Notamacropus eugenii: one gene and its partner. The protein of the gene in region 1 purifies or fractionates together with the protein of each later gene. This does not show direct contact. Links are inferred from orthologs where the notes say so. Each region holds a gene or a part of one and is shown in the gene's direction. Other genes may lie near its edges.

Evidence for each region. The genes of interacting proteins can lie anywhere in the genome.
Region 2: the proteins of CDK19 (region 1) and MED8 purify together in Homo sapiens (affinity purification with mass spectrometry; 6 studies listed by BioGRID and IntAct, counting the BioPlex papers as one, with this or other methods). This does not show direct contact. The link is inferred for Notamacropus eugenii from reciprocal best matches to the Homo sapiens genes CDK19 and MED8.

Annotation. Positions count from the first base shown.
Region 1 is NC_092873.1:190,842,151-190,851,947, reverse strand, and holds the start of CDK19 (cyclin-dependent kinase 19), read left to right. Parts: upstream 1-5,247; 5' UTR 5,248-5,712; coding exon 5,713-5,840; intron 5,841-9,797.
Region 2 is NC_092873.1:504,903,849-504,913,380, reverse strand, and holds the start of MED8 (mediator of RNA polymerase II transcription subunit 8), read left to right. Parts: upstream 1-5,373; 5' UTR 5,374-5,380; coding exon 5,381-5,386; intron 5,387-5,753; coding exon of another isoform or gene 5,754-5,776; exon of another isoform or gene 5,777-6,034; intron 6,035-6,122; exon of another isoform or gene 6,123-7,135; coding exon 7,136-7,254; intron 7,255-8,004; coding exon 8,005-8,149; intron 8,150-8,580; coding exon 8,581-8,721; intron 8,722-8,842; coding exon 8,843-8,924; intron 8,925-9,318; coding exon 9,319-9,532. Other genes in the region: KICSTOR complex protein SZT2, read right to left, coding at 168-299, 4,368-4,538, 4,675-4,854, 4,951-5,076, 5,199-5,373, 5,754-5,776. UniProt on the Homo sapiens protein: Component of the Mediator complex, a coactivator involved in the regulated transcription of nearly all RNA polymerase II-dependent genes.

The DNA of each region.
Region 1 (9,797 bases):
AGGGAAGATTTGTAGGAAGGCCCACACCTTTTGTTAATGAGGCATTGGTTCTTCAGGGTTGTGATGCCCTCTGGCTCTGAAAATGTATAAGTACTGTGAGGTGAGGTTTTATGTTGGGGCTTACTATTTGGGAGTGTTTATTTGGCCACATGATACTCTGGGCAGCTGCTAAGGAGCCCCCCCCTTTTGAAAATCCAGATGTAATAGCAATTTAAATGGAAAGCTCTTTGTCATTCATTAATAGGCCCATATGATCTGCTTAAATCACCTGGAAGCCTAAGTCACCTGTGGTGGGAGGAGCTTGCTGAATAGGCGGAACAGGAAGGGTGAAGCAGAACTGGAGAAAGTGAGTGAGTATGATTGGACTCAGAGGAGAGAGGATTCAGGCAGGCAGGTACAGGAGACTCAGGCTCTCCAGTCTTGCTTGTGAGAAGGCTGTGGTAGAGGTGGGGGAAAGTGGGGGGGAGGCAGTGGGTGGGTGAGGTGAGTGGGGAGGGAGTGGTAGTCTTGGAAATGGTTTTGCCCTTTGCAGTGATCACATTTATTAACTTCTTGGTCACCATAACAGATTTTGCTTTCTGGTTTGGGGATTTGGCTTTCTGGTGTCTAAATAAATGTTTTTCTTCTACCATCTATATGGAGAGTCTGTTATATATATGCTGGCATATTCATAGTCACCACCAGTGAATATTGCCTTGGAAATATAGCTTCTCTCTCTGGTAACTATGTATGTATGTAATGGTCAGACAGTTAGATCTGTCTGTTGATCTATGAGGTATATATTGCTTATGTCAGGCAGCTAGAAGCCCTTTCTGTTGATTTTGATTTCTCTGTATTTCCTCTGAAGTTCAGTGTGTGGAATTTTCTCCCTGAACTAAGTGAATGATACATGTGTTTGATTAAAGTGATTATTGATCTCTTTTAGTTCTAAAAGGAAAGTTACTTTCCTTTCAGAAATGCAGATTTAAGAACCTGTGATAGCAGCTCCTCCTATGTATGTTGGGGTGTTTGTTTTTACATGTCATTACTACTGAAAAAGGCAATGAAAAATATCCATAAGTCTAAATTCATATTCCTACTTCCCCATTTCCACAAAATCTCTGTGAAAGTAATAGACATACTTATTGAAGGTATGAGAATAGAACAAGAGGTCTCTAACAAATGATATTCAATGGCCACAGTTTTATATATTCACACAATTGAATGAAAGGTATTGAGACTAGAAGATCCTACTGTGCTCATTTTTCTTGTTTATAAGAAAAAAGGACAGTCTATGATCCTATGATGATCCTATTTTATGAAGTAGAGCAAAATACAAAATAAAGATTCTCCTAAAGATATTTCCCCTGCCTTTTTTCTCCTCATCAGGAACAGTGATCCTTCCAATTTGTCCCTTATTTCCACTCCCAACTTAAATTTACTCAGCTTTGGAACTCCATCCTGCAACTGCATTATCCTCAGTGTGATTATGTGAAAAATTTAGCTAGTCCATTGTACATAACTGGCTCCAGATTCTGCATGACATTTTATCCAGTCATCTACCAGAAAAAGAGGGCCTATTCAGTATAAGAATCTTGCCATTTATTCTGCTACTACGGACATATTGGAATGGATGGGGTGTTCTAGGATAACTAGGATAACTATCACCTTTGATGTGAAGGCTTGCCAGGCCATCCACTTGCCATTTCACCCGACTCTCACCTGTGGTTCCAAGAAGCTGTAGCATGCCCAGTGACCACATCTGATAAACTGTCTCAGTAAATAGGCTAAACCAGATAGAGGTTAACCAACAGGCCTCAAACCTGTCGTGGGGTAAGGGAATGTGAAGACTCCTCTCTCTTCCTCCTCTGGAATGGAACAATTTGTTCTGAAGCAGGTACTTTGGAGTGCTTAGAGCTTGGTCAGACATCGAAGATGCCAGGGTCATCCACTGTACTCCAGGCCATTGTTAGTGGTCCTGACTTTGATCTCATCATCTCACCTCAGACACTTGACACTCACTAGCTGTGTGACCTTGGGCAAGTCACTTAACCCCAACTGCCTCATCCTGGGTCATCTCCAGTCATCCTGATGAATATCAGGTCACTGGATTCAGATGGCTCTGGAGGAGAAGTGAGGCTGGTGACCTGCACAGCCCTCCCTCACTCAAAACAAAGTCAAGAGCAAGTCATGTCATTATTTCTCTGATGGCATGGTCTTCTTTGGTAAAGAAGGACGAACACACACAGGAACTTTGATAACTCTGGGAAGAGAGTGAGGCTGCTGACTGTGAGCAACTCTGCCTCACTTAAATCCAATTGATATGCAAGTCAAGATATCACCTGTGATGACATTGTCCTCTTTGAAAATGAAGGACAAAGAACAACAATGGGCACACCACTCTTCATTTCTTTCCAACTCCTGGTCTTGAAACAGGAATCAAGTCAAAGCTACCTTAGCTTCTGGAAAAGGTGTGACAGTCTACATCCCTGTGACCTTACTCCAATCCCTTTGGCCTGCAAATAAAAACTTCCTTCCTTTTCCCTCACTTTCCTATATGTACAGTATACCCCTATCAGAAGGTAAGCTTCTTGAAGGTGGGGCCTGTCTCTCTTATCTGTATCTTCAGCACTTGGCACAGGTCTGATACAGAGTAGGTATTTAATTGCTTTTTTAATTCATTCATCCATTCATTCGTTCATTCATCCAGCAAATTATCTCCCAAGCATACATTAAAATTACACAAGATACTTAAAAGATGTAGCTAGAAATAAATTTACTCAATATAATAACATTCAATAACAGCAAATATGGCAGAAAAACAAGCAGATACATGCTTGCCAAAGGTGTTTGCCATAGGCATGGTAGTTGTGTAGCACAATAGAATACAAGTGTAAGAGGAATTCCCTATATATAGACAGAAAGGTATTCCAGATGCTCTTTTTTGAGGATATTATTGTCTATTGGTTAGTTCATCAGCTTCTATGTGTATAATTATTCAACTCAGCAAGCATTTATTATATACCTATTACTACCAAAGTGCCAAGTACTGTGCTAAGTATAGGGATACAAAAAAAGGCAAAAAACCCCCCAACAAAATAAAAAACAAATATAGGTCCGGCTCTTAAGGAGCTCAGTCTAATGGTGGTGGTAGTGGGGACAACATGAAAATGACTGAGGACAAATGAGATGTATATGGGAGCAATTGGAGATAATCAGTAGAGGGAAGGCTTCTTGAAGAAGGCTGGATTTTAGTTGAGACCTGGAAGCTACGTAAGCCAGGAGAATTCTAGTCATGGAGAACAGTGAAAATGCAGGCTGGATATGGAGTTGTTTTTTTGTTTTCTTTTGTGACACATAGCAACCAGGTTAGTTTCTTTGTATCAAAGAGCATGTGACCAAACTGGCCTTCTCTCTGTTCTTCACATTCACCTTCTGTCTCTGTGTTATCTCCCATGCCTGAAATGTATTATCTCCTTACCACTCTTCACAGAATTCCTCTCCTCCTTCAAGACGAAGCTTAAGCATCATCTTCTAAAGGAAGCCCTTCATGATTCTCCATCCCCACACCAGCCCACCAACGTTTAGTACTCTTCCTAAGAAACTATTTTGTGCATATTTGTATATATTTTACTTACATATAGAGAAGTACTTAATTTCTGTCCCATTAGAATGCAAGATCTTTGAGAGTGGGGATTTTCATTTTTTTGGTATTTGTAGCCCCATCATTTAGCAAAGAATCTGGCACACAGGAAGCACTTTATAAATGCTTGCTGATGGATAGATTGTGGACTGATTCAAGCCCTGGAAGATTGAAGGGCCTCCTATAGGATGTGCAATCCCTCAAAACTATCCATGGTCAGGTAGGTAGCTCAATGTGTAGAACGCAGGCCTGAAGTCAGGAAAACCTGAGTTCAAATCCAGTCTCAGACACTAGCTATGTGGCTCTGGGCAAGTCACTTAACTGTTTGCCTCAGTTTCTTCATCTGTAAAATGAACTGGCAAACCACTCCAGTATCTCTGCCAAGAAAACCCTTGGGGTCATGAAGCCTAAGACAAGACTGAACAACCTTGAGGTAACAGGGAGCCACAGGAATTTGAATGGGAAGGTGATATGGTCAAACCTGTAACTTAGGAAGATCATTTTGATAGCTGTGTGAATTGGAGCGGGGAGGGACTTGACCCACGGAGACCATCAGGGTATTCTAAATAGTCCAGGTGTGAGGTGCCGAAGTTCTGCATCAGGGTGGTGATGGACTCAAAGGAGAGAAGACGGTATATGAGAGGTGTCAGGGAGGTAGAATCCACACATTTTTGTACAGATAGTTCCTTTTTTAGCCTTTAAAATATTTTAGGCATGGAGCCCTGACGATGTAATTGGTGGGTTCAAAAATATAATCAGTTTTGTCACTATAATCCTGCTGCGAGACTGCTCTTCAAAATATATGCACCAATCTACCTACAAGTCCATCGATAATTCGTTAAAGTGTAAGAAATCCTCTTCACAATTCCTGGGGGTAATTCGGCATTGGGCCTAGACGATGCCTGACCTTTTCATTCTACCTTTCACTGTGGTTGCAAACGGCAGCATCCTCTGTTGTACAGTCATTGTCTTCCCGAGGCCGGGCGCTTTGGTCGGCTTAGGCTTCACGTTAGAAGCCGCACCTGTTAGAAGAAAGGAGGGCAGGCCGGCCCTCGTCGTTAACCCTCACCTCCCACGGCTGAAAGCTCAAGGAAACTGCTGAGGGCTCCACATTTGAACTGCGGTTTTGGCTTTGCCATGGAACGGGAATAGCCTATGGGGAAGGACCGTGTAGAAGCATCCACCAACCAGAAGCAAGAATCAGGCCCGAAGGCGGGACTCCAGCAGACCAATTAGAGACGAGTAGCCTAGCCCCGGCCAGTCAGACGTAGGACTGAGAGGAGAAATAGGCGGGCCAATTGCCTTAGAAAATAAACAACAGTCCGCCGTAGAGCATCTTTAACTGACGTGCACTCTCGACTGCTCTGAAACCTCAGAAGGGAGTACAGGTTTAGCTAAAACGCTCTTCACCCTTCCCATTAGCGAACCGATTCGTTAGTGTCGACACGATGGCCTAGCTGCCTCTTGTTCCTGCTAGCTTAGGGAAAGCAAACTACAACTTTTTCGGGTTGTCACCACATTTAGAAACACTAACCCTCTCACCAAAGTGGGAGTGGCGGCAGGGAGCAGGCGCGGTCACCGGGTGCGGAGGTGGGGGTGTTGGGGAGGAGGGGCAGCCTCCGCCCGGGGCATTCTGGGATTTGTATTTCTCCGAAGGACAGGTTGCAAAGTTTCCACTACCTCCTGGACTACAGCCCCCAGAAACCCTAGCGGCTCTCAGGGGGCGGGCGGTCTGATCGTTAATGAGCTCGAGGAAGCCGCGGTGCGGCCCACCAGGTTCCAAAACACGGAAATGAAGGAGGGAGGCGGGACTGACGGTGCCTGCGGGAGCCGCCGCGGAGGAGAAGGAGGAGGAGGAGGAGGAGGAGGAGGCCGCCGCGATTGCGGCGGTACTCCGTGCTGAAGGCGAGGGACGCTCGAATTGGGGAAACCGAAGGGGGGGCGGTGCGCCAGTGCGCGCGCCCGGGAGCCAGGCGTCTGTGAGGGGAGAAGTGGAGCGGCGGGCCGCGGGAGGAAGCGGCGGCGGCGGAGTGAGTGAGTGAGCGGCGGCGGCCCCCGCGTCCCCCGCGCCTCTATGGGGGAAGCAGACAATGGATTATGACTTTAAGGCGAAGCTGGCGGCGGAGCGGGAGCGGGTGGAGGATCTGTTTGAGTACGAGGGCTGCAAAGTGGGACGCGGCACCTACGGTCACGTCTACAAGGCGAGGCGGAAAGATGGGTAAGAGCCGCCTGAGGATGCGAGGGGTTGCTGCGGGGACGAAGAGGGGGGTGAAGGCGTTCGCGCGGAGCAGCCTCCGGCCCCGGGGGTCCCCAGCTCGGGCCCGGGCCCGGGGCGGGGGGTGTGGAATCGCACCCGGGGTGCCTTGGGTGGTGGCCGGCGGCTCGGGGCTCCCAGCGCTCGGTCTCTCTGTCCTCCGGTCCCGCTCCTGCCCCGCGCGCGGGAGTCGCCGCCGCCGCGTCCAGCGAGCGTCTCCCCCTCCCCGCTCCCGGTGCGCGATGCCGGCGGAGAGGCGCCCGTGCGGACCTGGCTGGAGGGAGGAGTCTGCAGGCTCCGGTCTCCTGGGGAGACGGCGAGGGGCGGGCAGAGCGCGGCGCGGGCGGCTCGGCTGCTGCTGCAGCCTCGGGCACGGCTGTGACGGGCGTCCCTCGACCTCCAATCGGCGAAGGCTCCCTCTCCCGGGGGTGGGGGTGGGGGCAGTTCAAACCCGGCTGCGGGAGCCTCGGGCAGAGGCGTCCGTCCCGGGGTGGGGTGTGGATTTTTATCTCTGTCTTCTACGGGAAGGTCCTCGATTCTGGGAGTTACCAGGCTGCTGCTTGGGGTCATCTAAATGAGAGGAGAAGAGCTCCCCCCAAAAACAAAACAAGCTACTCTCCTGAATAATAACAGCTGGTTAGTTCTATGGTGCTTATTATGTGCCAAGCTCTTTACAACTATCCTGTTTGATCCTGGGAATCAGGTGCTGTTGTAATAGCGATAATAACAACAATTGTTGATAATAACAGCCAGCATTTATATAGTTTGCTGTGTGCCAGGTAACCGGGATAAGCTCTTTACAGTTGTCTCATTTGATTCTCACAACAGCCCTGGGTATTAGGTGCTGTTTTAGTAATGGTAATAGCGACAACTAACATTCATCTAAGGCTTATCGTGTGCCCAGTAACTGTGCTAATCCCTTTACAATTATCATCTCATTAGATCCTCACGACAACCTTGGGAGGTAGGTGATGTTAATGATAATAATAATGATAATGGCTAACACTTATATAGCTTACTATGTGCCAGGTTACTTGGGCTGATCTCTTTTTAATTATCATTACATTGATCCTCATAACAACCCTGGGAGATAGATGTTTTTCTAATAGTAATAATTATAGCAGCCAACACTTATGTAGTGCTTGCTACTTGCCAGGCACTGTGCTTAAGTACTTTATAATTATCTGGTTTGAGCTTCACAACAACCTTATGAGCTAGGTGCTATGGTGATAATAATAATAATAGCAATAACATTTATATTACACATTTATGTGCCAGGTGGGGCAGCTAGGTGGTGCAGTGGATAGAGCACCAGTGCAGGAGTCAAGAGGACCTGAGTTCAAATCTCACCTCAGACACTTGACACTCACTAGCTGTGTGACCTTGGGCAAGTCACTTAACTCCGACTGTCTCATCCTGGGTCATCTCCAGTCATCCTGATGAATATCTGGTCACTGGATTCAGATGGCTCTGGAGGAGAAGTGAGGCTGGTGACCTGCACAGCACTCCCTCACTCAAAACAAAGTCCAAGTGCAAGTCATATCATTATTTCTCTGATGGCACGGTCTTCCTTGTCAATGAAGGACAAACACATGTGCCAGGTAACTGTACTGAGCACTTTACAGTGATATTAATTTGATCCTCACAACAACCTTGTGAGATACGTGCTGTTATAAGAATAATAACTAATATATAGGGCTTGCTGTGTGGCAGGTGCTTTATAATTACTATCCCATTTTAACTTCATAATAATCCTAGGAGGAAGGTGCTGTTATCCCTATTTTACAGATGAGGAAACTGAGGCAAACAGGTAAAGTGACTTACCCATGGTCACACAGCTAATAAGTGTCTCAGCTTGGATTTGAACTCCAGTTTTCTGATGCCAGGACTAGTACTCTATCCAATGTGCCTCCTAGCTTCCTTTCTCCTTTCTCATCTCTTCCCCTCCCCCCTTGGATTCTGCTATTATGCTCTGTTCTTAAATTTTAGATTGTGATTAAATCTTTACTAAAACCCTACCTTCCTTTCCTGGATCTCCTAAATTCTGGAGCCTTCCCTATGTCCAGTCATTTTGTACATAGTTGTTTGCATGTTACCTCTCTGATTAGACTGTTTCATTTCTAGATTAGTTTATTGAGGGCAGCTACCTCTTTTTTTACTTTTCTTGGTATCCCCAGTGCTTAACACAGTGCCTAACAAATTATGGGAGCTTAATAAATGCTTTTGGATTTGACTGGGATTGTGAAACATCCTCAGAGAGTGTCTTTTAGATTTAAATTACTGAGGTAGGGGGAGCAGCATGGTGGCTGATTGTATTTGTCCTTCATTCTCAAAGAAGACCTTGACATCAAGATGTTGACAAGACTTGCAGTTGACTTTGATTTGAATGAGGGAGGGCTGTGCAAGGATACTAACCTCACTTTCTCATCCTGAGCCATCTGGGTGCAGTGGTCAGATATTCATCAGGACCTCTGGAGATGGCCCAGAATGCAATGTGGGACCCTGGCCACTTGTGGCAAAGGTCTTATCAGATTCTTACTTTGAGTGAGATATATCCATTCATTGAATAGGCCTCTTTGATTAGTTACTCCAGGCATGGCCCCTTCAATAAATAAAACAAAAACAAAATAAAACTGAGAGGGGAAGACCCTCAGGGTTTCTGGGTAAAAGAGAAACAGTTACTATTTAGTATTTACATTCAGGGAAAGAGCTGAGGTGAAATTCAACCTCTGTCATCTGCTGGTTGTATGACCCTGGGCCAGGCACTTAATCTCAGTCAGCCTCAGTTTCCTCTTTTGAAATGTATATATAATAATAGCAACTACATCACAGGGTTATTGTTAGGATTAAATGAAATGACATGCAAAGAGCTTTGCAAATTGTAAAGTTCTCATAAATGCTAGCTAGCTGTCTTCATCTCCTGACAAATAACCTTTAATCTGCTTCACCTTGGGTTACTTTGTGCCAGCATGGATAGGCCTTGTTTTTTTATTTTAAATTGGTGGGGAAAGTTGTGTAAAAATGGTTGCTGTACATGGATATTCTATACTGGGTGAAGAGTTTATATAGATGCTACCTACCCATGTACAATTACTCTCATTTTTTTGTAGTATTAGTAAAAACCCAAGATTCTTAGGGAGAGCTAAAGAATGTCTTTATGCCTGAGCCCATTTAATGTTGTTTGTAATTATGTACTTTTCAAGAGGGGAAAGATGTGGAAAACTGAACTCTTAAAATATCTGTAAATAAGTTGAAGATATATCAGCTCTCCTGAAGTTTGTCAACTTTATACATAAGAATTCTAAAGACAATAATATTGTAGTTATTTAAGGTTTAGAAAGTTTTAATCATAAGCTTATGAGGTAGTATCCCTATTTGACTCAGCTGATAATCCTTTAAGTGGAATTTGAACTCGGGTTTCTTCTGACTCCAAGTCCAGCATTCTTTCCACTACATACGTGGTCCTGAGAAAAGGAAAGAGGAATAAATAGTAAAAGTGGGCAGTGTGCCATCATACTTGGAGTTTGAACTTTTGCTTAATTTTTTCCCCCCTCAGACTAGACCTGTACTGTCAAAGTCAAGTCTAAATTCAGTGCAACCTCACCCCACAAGAATTTCAGAAAAAATTTTTCTTCCTCTCTAAGAAAAAATACAGTGTTGTACAAATGAATCAGATTAGTGATAGAGGGTGCATATTTTAGTGACCAGGGTCAGGAAAACTTGGGTTCAAATTTCACCTGTGACATTAGTTATGTGACTATAGGCAAGTTGCTCTGAGCCTGTCTTTTCCTACCTGTTGTGTTTATATCAGAGGGTTGTTGCAAGGCGCATATGAGATAAGGTAGGTAAAAAGCCTCATGAATTTCCATTATTGTTACTGATATTTTGAAAATAGGCAGTTATTTTTCAGGCCCTTTGTTA
Region 2 (9,532 bases), about 310 Mb from region 1:
TCCTCTCCCCACCCCTGACATGCCTTTACTCTGCCCCAGGGGTACAGAGGTGCCCAGCCTATGACCATGCGTTTGAGTGGTACCTGGGGGCCACATGAGCCCCGTCTAGGCTCCCATGCCTGGACTGTGCCCCTGGGCACAGAAGTGGCCAGTTCCTGCCCACCTACCTGGCTCCGGGGCTCATACTGCTGCTGGAGTGTGGCAGCCACCTTATTCTCAAAGACACAGAGCTGGGAGTACACCTGCTGCAAGAAGGTCTCTCGCCGAGAAGGTTCCAAGAGATAGCCCTGAGCCAACACCTGGCAGGGAGGGCTGGGGCTCAGGAGGAGCTCAGGATGGTGCTTCCTCCACCTAACAGCCTCCCACTGAGAAGAGCTACTACGTCCCCTGGACATGGTCACTGAGCACGCCCTGCTCTGGCTATCACTCCTCTATGATGAGGAGTGCCAGGCCATTCCCCGCACTGGTTGCCTTCCTCTAGCCCCTCTCTAAATTGCTCATGCCCTTACTGAAACAGAATCGAGATGAGGTCACACCAGCCTCCAGGCAGCAAAGCAGCAGCAAGGGACTGAATGGTGGCCCTGGAGTCAGGAAGACCTGAGTTCAAATCTGGTCTCAGATACTTCCAAGACTTGTGACCCTGGGCAAGTCATTCAATCTGTTTTCCTTAGTTTCCTCATCTGTAAAATAGGGATCATAACAGGCCCTGCCTCCTCCCAGGGTGGTTGTGAGGCTCAAATGAGGTATTTATAAAACAGCAGACACAGTGCTTGGCACGCAATAGGTGGCATAAAAACACTCATACCTCTTAGTCTCCCTTGTAGGGGTTGGGGGTAGAGCAGAGGGAATGCTCAGAGACCTGGCCTGGAATTCCCTTCCTGACATTTACTAGCAACAGACAGCCCCGAGGGGACCACAAACAAGTGTCTTCACCTCTGTAAGCCTCAATTTCCCCATGAGTAAAAAGATACAAGGTGTCTTCCCTCACAAGGTGGCAGCAAGTCTCCAGAGATCACCTATAGTCAAATCCCTTGATCCTGACCAGTTACTAGTAGTGAGTGTGCTCAGGCTCCCTGGGGCTGAAAAGCGTGCCCTTCCTCCCTTCTCAACTCCTCCCTTGAATTTAGGTTGGGCACAGACACAACAAAAGCCAAGTTTATCACAGACTTAAATATGTAGAAAATGAATTCTCTTTTATTCGGAGCGTGGCCCCAAATACAACGAGCCTTAGACACACAAAGGAGAAGGGAAAGAGCCCAGTCTAGATTCTGCAGACACGCCTCCCCTTCATGCTGCAGGCTCCTAGAGGACAAGGCCTGGGATGGAGTCTTGGTCGCCCCGGTGCCTGTCACCCAAAACGTCCTTCATAAATGCTGCACAGAGGCAAATGATTCGAAGGAACATCAGAGGTTGGGGAAGCGAGCAGCTGATTAAGATGATGGGGACTGAGAAGAAGACAATGGGATTTCATTCACAAGCACAGTCCCTGCCAGGTGGAGAGAACCTTGCAAAGACTGGTTTTCACAAATTTAGGCAAAAGGGCTTGAAAGTAAAAAAGAAAGTGGAGAGAGGAAACGGCTGTCTCTGTCTTTCCACCAATAAAAACAGCCATAATGAAGACACCAATGACCCAGCCACAATCCTGGTAGGCACGGCCTCTGAAGGCCCTTTGCTGAGTAGCAGCTGTGACCTAGGAGGAAAGGCGGCCTGAGATGAAGCCCAGGACTGCAGCCTGGCTGAGGGAGGGGCAGAGGCAGGGAGGTAAGCACACCACTGAGCACTAGATCTCAAGAAAGCAAAGTCACATGAGGAGAACTCAGAGCCAGAGAACACTATTTCAGCAAAGACCACGGGCAGAGAGCAGCAACCTGGCCACAGGAGGGGACCACAGACCAACTGGGACAGAAAAAGGAAACGTTCTCAAGCCTCACACAGAAGGTACAAGGTTGTGGTGAATGGTGATTCGGATTTGTGCCAGAAAAATGTGTCAGACACACCCCTAGATTTTAGGTGAACCCCTTTCAAAGATGAAATTCAACAAAGAAAACCAGTCTATGAGGAATGAGAATCTCAAGAACAAAATTCCAGGAAAAAGAGAAAAAACACAACGTGAACAACAAGAGGGAAGTGTGAAAGGCTGTGCTTCCCCACAAGATCTCCACATGCTGCAGCAGACTGGAGGATGGGGACTGAGGATGGCTCCCAACCAGTGGCCATCCAACATCTTCTTGCAGCCCTCCTAGGACAGCGGTGCACCTCGGGGCGGTTCTTGTGCTGAGTTTGTCCCAACATGGGTTCCTGGGTCTGTCTGTAAAGGCCAATTTGGGAGAACTGCTCCCTCATCCACAGACAGGACGGCAATCCCTCAAACGATGGGAAGCAGGCAGCACTGGCATGGCCAGAATCTCGCATAGCTTTTCAAAAACATTTGCAGAAGCAAAGCATAGGAAAAAGTGGCAGAATGGCATGGCTAAGAAAGATCTGGAGGTCCTGGTGGGCTGTCAACAGTTTGGTACAGAAGCACCCACGAGGAGAGGTGGCCACAGCCATCACTGAGGACTGGTACCATATTTCAGGAAGGCCGTGACAAGGAGCAAGGCACGGAGAGGATGTAAGATGGGTTCTCCTCCATTTGGGAAGGAGCCTGAAGTAGTGGGGGCAGAGAGAGGGAGGTGGGCATAGGAGAGCTGTAGACTGGCACTGGTTGGCTCCCAAGAGCAAAGAAAGAAGCAAAACTTGCGGGGAACAGAATTGAGCTTGAAGTCAAGAACTTCTAAGCCTTGGCTTCTGTCCATACTCCAGCTGAGGGGGCTTTCTAAGGTCCATGTCGATCTGCCAAATCCCAGTTCTTGGCTGCACCAAACACTGGCTGCATCCTCTCCCTCCACAGGTCCTGGCCCTGTTCTCAAGGCTCTCCTGTTTGACCACATCTTCTCAGGCTCCCCTTCGCCTGGAAAGCACGGTTTGACCCCAGGTATCCTCTTCTCTTTGCCTCATCAGCCCCCTGGATTTCACTACCGTTTCTACATCTCTTTGGAACGCCAGTCCCAGAGCCCTGCCTGGACCTCCTGCAGGTCTCTTGAGCAAGATCTGTGCTGCGGGCCCAACTTTCTGACTTGCCCAGCCTGCCCAGGTCACCAACCTCTCCCCAGTTGATCAGGTTCACGCCCTCAGCCATTTTCACTGACTCCTCGGAGTCAGCCAGTCACCAAGCCATGTCAATCCACCCTTCACACTGTCCACGTCCATTCCCTCATCTCCCCTCATAAAGCTGTCCCCTTCACTGACCCTTCATGGAAAGAGTACACAGAGCAGCCTCCTGTTGGGCCCCATGCCTGGTCTTTCCTTCTTCCATCCATCTCTGTCACTGAAGCCAAAGGGATCCTCCTCAGTACAATCACTCTTAACCTTCCCTGCCACCTTTGTGTTCCTCCCCTTATTGTACCTGGGACCCCACGATCCTCATGACAAAAGTGAAACACCTGTATGGCACTGCAAGCCCTTCAAAACCAGCTGCAAGACTGATTTCACATCACTTCCCATTTGGCTTACTTGCTGTTACCCATACACAAGCATTCATCTTCTATGGTCCACCTCCATGCCTTTGCGCAGGCTGTGACTCATCCTAAGAATGCTCTCCTTTCTGACCTGAGCCTTTTGGAAGCCTGCCTGTCTTCAAGACTTAGGTCAATTCTTAGGGAGCTTTTCCCGCCTCCCTTGGCTGGATCCCCCTGCATACAGCAGGTGTGTAATAAGTGCTTAGTAGGGTGGGCTCACCCCCTCACTGGATGGTAACTTGTCTGAGAAGGCTGAGGAAAATCTTGTTCCAATCTAGTTGAATCAGATGCCTCAGATCCCCTGATTCTGGATGAGTCAGGGTATGGGGTCCCACCACATAGTAAGAGCAGCAAGGATAGCACAAGTGTAGGTAAAGGGGGTGGGGTGGGCAGGGGAGTATCTGGAGTACAGGCCCCAGCTATACCCACTGGGGCATAACTATGCAAGGCTAGGCGGAAAGCAAGATGTCACAACAGAATTTAGAATGCTGTATTTAAAGACATTTGATCCTCCCCACCACCCTGTGCAGTCAGTGTGGTCGCTAACCACGTTCTTCCCAGAAGTGAGTTGTGAGCGTCACCTGCCTAAGAGTCCGAGCCCTGACTCCAAGCTTGTCAGCCACCTGGGCGTGGGGGGAAGGGCACAAAACGTGGAGAAGCACTAAGACCCCCGCGCCCAGAGGCGGGGAGGGGAGGCGCTAGGACCCCCGCGCCCAGGGCTGGGAGGGGAGGCGCTAGGACCCCCGCGCCCAGGGCGGGGAAGGAGGACTCGATCCAGACGCGGCCGCGCCGCCGCAGGAGCCTCCCTACCTGGTGGGACTGCAGGCCGATGATGGAGGAGTAGGCCTGGATGGTCACGTAGATCTCTGGCTGGAAGGTGATGGAGGAGCCCGGGACTCGGAAGGGCCGCAGCAGCCCCTCCACGCATCGGGAGAGGGCCCTGAATACCTCGTCAAAGAGAATCTCTCCGGTGGAGTCATCCTGGGGGGAGGGGGCAGGTCAGAGAATGGGGGTGCTGGGCAGGGGGAGTGGGGTGGGGGAAGGGGAGCCCCCCAGCGGCCGGGGGGAGGGGCAGGACCCCCCACCCCCCGCAGCCGAGGGCTGGGGGGGGCCTCACCACGATGCCCGTGGACGGGCTCAGGTCCAGCTCGATGACAAAGCGGTAGCGCCACGCCAGGAAGGTGACGCGCGTGGACGGCACCAGCAGAAGCGCCCGGCCCGGGGGCCCCAGCGGCTCGTCCGGCTGCCAGCCCGGCGGGAGGACGCTGAGCACGGCCAGCTCCGGCTCGGAGCGCAGCTGCGGGGAGGGGGCGGGGCGGTCAGGGGCCGCGGGGGCCAGGGGGCTGCCCGCCCCCCGTTCGCCCCCCGCCCGCCCCGCCCCGCCCCCACTCACCAGCTCCTCGGCCGAGGCGGCCCGCACCGGCTGGCGGAGGTGGTTCAGGAACCAGGCCAGGCGCACGTTGCGGGAGATGCGGTGGCCCTTGCGCATCAGCAGGAAGACGTGCGCGGCCTCGTCCACCTGCGCGGGGAGCTCGGCACTCAGAGACCCGGCGCCCCGGGGGTTGCGGGGGGCCGCTCTGCCCCCAGGCCTGGCCCCGCACCCACGCCCTGAGCTCCCGGGACCGCCCGCCCCAGCCTTACCTCGGCCGACTCCGCCGCCATGGCTGTCAGGTCCCGGGTGACCTCTGACCCGCCGCGACCCGGAAGCGCTCGGCCGTCGCGTCGGAAGCTCCCGGAGAAGTCGCGGGGTTCGACGACGGTGCTTCCGGAAGCGGAAGCTAGGGGGCGGTACCCCGGAATGGGAAGTTCCTGCAGCCTACAAGATGCAGGTAAGCGCTGGACTGACGGTAGCGGGGGGAAGCGAGGCGGCCTCGGGTCCGAGATCCCGCGGAGGAGACCTTGAAGGCCAGGCCCAAGAGCTCGCGGCGCTGCAGCGAAGCTGGGGGCCCCCCGGGGCGTAGGAGCGCGTACACCGGGGAGTGTCTTGGGGTGTGGGCGGACCCGTAGCCCGATGGGGCCGCGACGTTCTCTACCCTGCCCTCAATTTACGTACAGACACTGAGGCCTAGGAAGGCACCCTTGAGTGAGCCAGGGTCTGCCATATATGCAGCGAGCCTACCCCGCCTTTGCCCCGGGCGGGGGGAGGGGGAGGGGGCGTGGGGTGGGGGAGGGGACGTGGAAGGGAGAAGAGCTTACTGAAACCTGCAGCGGGAAGGCATTCGAGGAAGGAGGGTCTGCCGAGACAAAGGCTCAGAGGCAAGAGGTCCAGCCGGACCCACGTGTCTCTGGGTAAAATCATCCACAATGAGCCTGGAGAAGTAGGTGGGAGCCTAGCTAGGAGGGGCTTTAAGATCCAGCCCGGGGAGCGTCTGTGCCCTGGGCCACTCTCTCCGGAGGGTGTGAAGGGAGGCCGGACCGTGGCATCAGCCAGTGTAGGCTGTCGTGGGAGGACAGAGGAGCAAAAGGGTCACCCCTCCCCCTCCTCCCCCCCCCCCCAAGCTCCTTGAGGGCCCCGGTCAGGGACCGTGCCCAGGGAATGGTCTGATTGGTCGTCAGGGCTCACACCTGGCTTAGGAGGATCCGTGTGCCGAGGGCTGGAGATGTCCTGAGGGGCAGGGCTCGGGTGTGGCCGGGAGGGGAGCTCCCACATGCCGAGGGCTGACCTACCAAGGGCAGACTTAGAGAAAGCAAACTCTGGCGGGGGGAGGGATGGAGCCTTTCATTCTCTGCCCTCCAGGTATCAAGGAGTGGTCAGGATCCCACAGGGACCCAGGGACCAGGGTGGGGGCAGGCTGTCCTGGTCCTGTGTCACTGAGCAGGAGCATCCAGGCTAGCCTGACAGGCTGCCTCAGGAGGGGCCCCCAAGGTCAGGGCCTGGTGCAGACACCCCAGGGATGCCAGGGTGTGGTAGGCCCTAGAAGAAATGAGGTGCTGCTGATAAGCTAGGGGCGGGAGAAATGCAGGTGGGGGGCAGGATGCAGCGTGTGGCATGCCAATCCCCAGGGTGGCCCCTAACCCGCCTCTGGGTGACCGCCTCCATCCTGCCCTGAATGGGATGGCCCACCTCTGCCCTGTCTCTGCAGGTGCTCCCCGTGGTCACCAGAGATTCAGGATGGAGTGCCCACACAGTCTCTCACCATAGCCTTGTTCCTGCCTGGAGCACGCTTCGTGCCCAGGGGCCCTCTGGGGATCCTCTTGTGCCACATGGTACCAGTGCAATAGAGGCAGCATGTCTTGGGCAGTCAGCAGCACTCACGCAGACCCTGGGGAAGGGGCAGACACCCTTCCCTCCCCTCCTGGCTTTTCTGCATCAAGTCTTCACCAGGCCTGGGGCTCTGGGCTCTGTCCTGGGATTTGCCCATTAGGACCCTAATAGGACTCAGAAGGAAAAGGCAGCCTGGTGCAGTGAGGGTGAGACTTGTGTCCCTGCCAGCTAGCCCCTCCTGCTCACCCCTCCCTGGGGCTTCTCAGTCTTCTCATCAGACACCAGGTGCCCCATGGACTCTAAGTCGAGATCTGTGTCTGGCACACTGGGCCCTGACCACCTTAGGCTGACTGGCTGGTCTCTGTCCATGCAGAGGGAAGAGAAGCAGCTGGAGGCATCAGTGGACGCACTGCTGAATCAAGTGGCAGATCTGAAGAGCTCCTTGGGAAGTTTTATTTGCAAGTTGGAGAACGAGTATGACCGGCTTACCTGGTAAGGGCAGGTGGGCGGAACGGCCTTAGAGCTCAGCAGGAGGCAGGCATGCTGCTCCTGAGCCTCCTCAGTCACAGTTTAATTTCCCAGCTTCTGGGCCCCCCCGGAGGACTTGAGCCCCTCGTGCAAGTCAGGGCTGGAGAAGGGTTAAGGCACTTGTGTCCAGAGAAGATGAAGCTCCTTAGACAAAGAGCTGGGGAACCCAGTCAGCACAGACTCCCCTCTGTCCCCAGATGCTGGCAGTCCACTGGTATGAGTGAAGGGCAAAGGCATCACTGAGGCAGCAGGAAAGATGCGTCATTTTACTTTGCTGTCTGCATTCTCCTCTTCCAGTTTTCCATACATTGGGTGCCATAGGAAGGCCAGTCCATGGGAAGGCCCACTATGTTTCCGTTGGCAAGTAGAGGCTAGTTCATACGTTAAAAGAGGTCTTTTGGAGACAGCATGGTCTAATCAGGGTCTTGACCTATAGAACTTCTCTCCTGAGGAGGCTTAGTATAGGCTATCCAGGCCTTGCTAGCTTTAAGAGCCTTTTCTTTTCCTGCAGCCATGTCAGTCTCAGTCCCAGATTGTGCATCTGTTCTAGGTGGGCCTGGGTGTAAAGGGTCATCACATCTCTGAATCCTAAGGCTGCATCTCTGTCTTTCTCTGAAGGGCTCTCAGGCAGCTGTTACTTCCCCGAGGGGGTCCCATGGGTCAGAGCCCACATTTTTAGCCAGGCCCTATTCCCATCTCTTCCACTCCAACTAGGCCTTCAGTCCTGGACAGCTTTGCTCTGCTCTCTGGACAGCTGAACACTCTCAACAAGGTCCTCAAACATGAGAAGACCCCATTGCTCCGGAACCAGGTTATCATTCCTCTGGTGCTGTCCCCGGACCGAGATGAGGAGCTCACGGTGAGAAGCAGGGCCTGGGAGAGCACAGCGAGAGCAACACATTCCCTCTAGTCTCTATCCAGACCACCCCTCACCCCAGCCACTGGGGCTCTTTGCCCCTTTCTCCACTTAGCTGGTGGCATTTGCTTTGGGGCGCTTGTTAAAAGATAGCCTGGGGTATGGATGGACCAGGGACCAAAGTGCTTTTTTCTTGAGTAGAGAGTATAGTTTTTTTTTTATTAATTTATTTTTACTTTTCAACATTCTTTTCCACAAGATGAGTTCCAGATTTTCTCCCCACCTCTCCCCTCCCCTCACCTCAAGATGGTGGGCACTCTGACTATCCCTTCCCCTAATCTGCCCTGCCTTCTATCACAACCCCATCCCCTCTCTTATCCCATTCCCAAGTAGAGGATGTAGTTAACATAGCAAAGCCTTTGTGCTTATGACAGCGCCAGACAGAGGGCCGGGTTCCTGTCTTCAGTCATGAGGTGGTCCCTGACCACCTGAGAACCAAACCAGACCCAGAGGTGGAGGAACAGGAGAAGCAACTGACCACAGACGCTGCTCGAATCGGCACTGATGCTGCCCAGGTAACAGAAGCCAGTGCTCTGCCCCAGGGATGGGGGGCTTGGGAGGCATGGGTGCAGTCTGCTCTTCAGGCAGCCCTCAGTCCTGATCCTGCTCACCTCAGTGTTTCTGCATGTTTTATAGAAGCAAATACAGACCTTGAATAAAATGTGCTCAAACCTACTGGAAAAAATCAGCAAAGAGGAACGAGAGTCAGAAAGTGGAGGTGAGTGTGTTTGGCAAGGTGGGAACTGGTCATCATGGGGGAGGGAAGATTGGGAAGGAGGGAAAGGGGCATAGACATGGAAAATGGAGGTATGGAGGTATAGAGGCTACAGTGGGGGCATGATGGCAAAGTCTCGAGAGGAAAGGAAAGATGGAGGAAAGCGAATGTGGAGAGTGACCTGGGATTGATGGTGAAGCCACAGGGGACAATTGTTATGGAACGACCCTCATGGGAGCCCACGTGTGCTGGCCTGAGGCAACCACAGGGGCTGCTGCTCCCATGCCTGAGCTGTGAGGTGTCTTAGGGTATTGGGGCAGTCAGAAGCCCCCTCAGGTTCTTGGGCCTGGCTCTTCTCGTCCTGCCCACTTCTCAGTGCCCTGGCTTTCCTTTCTAGGTCTCCGTCAGAATAAACAGACCTTCAACCCCACAGACACCAATGCCCTGGTGGCTGCAGTTGCATTTGGTAAGGGTCTGTCCAACTGGAGATCTCCTGGCACCAGTGGCCCTGGCCAAGCAGGCCAGTCTGGGGCAGGAACCCTCCTGACTGGAGCTTCTGGCATGCAGCAAGTTCAGATGACAGGCACATCCAGTCAGCAGCAGAGCACTCT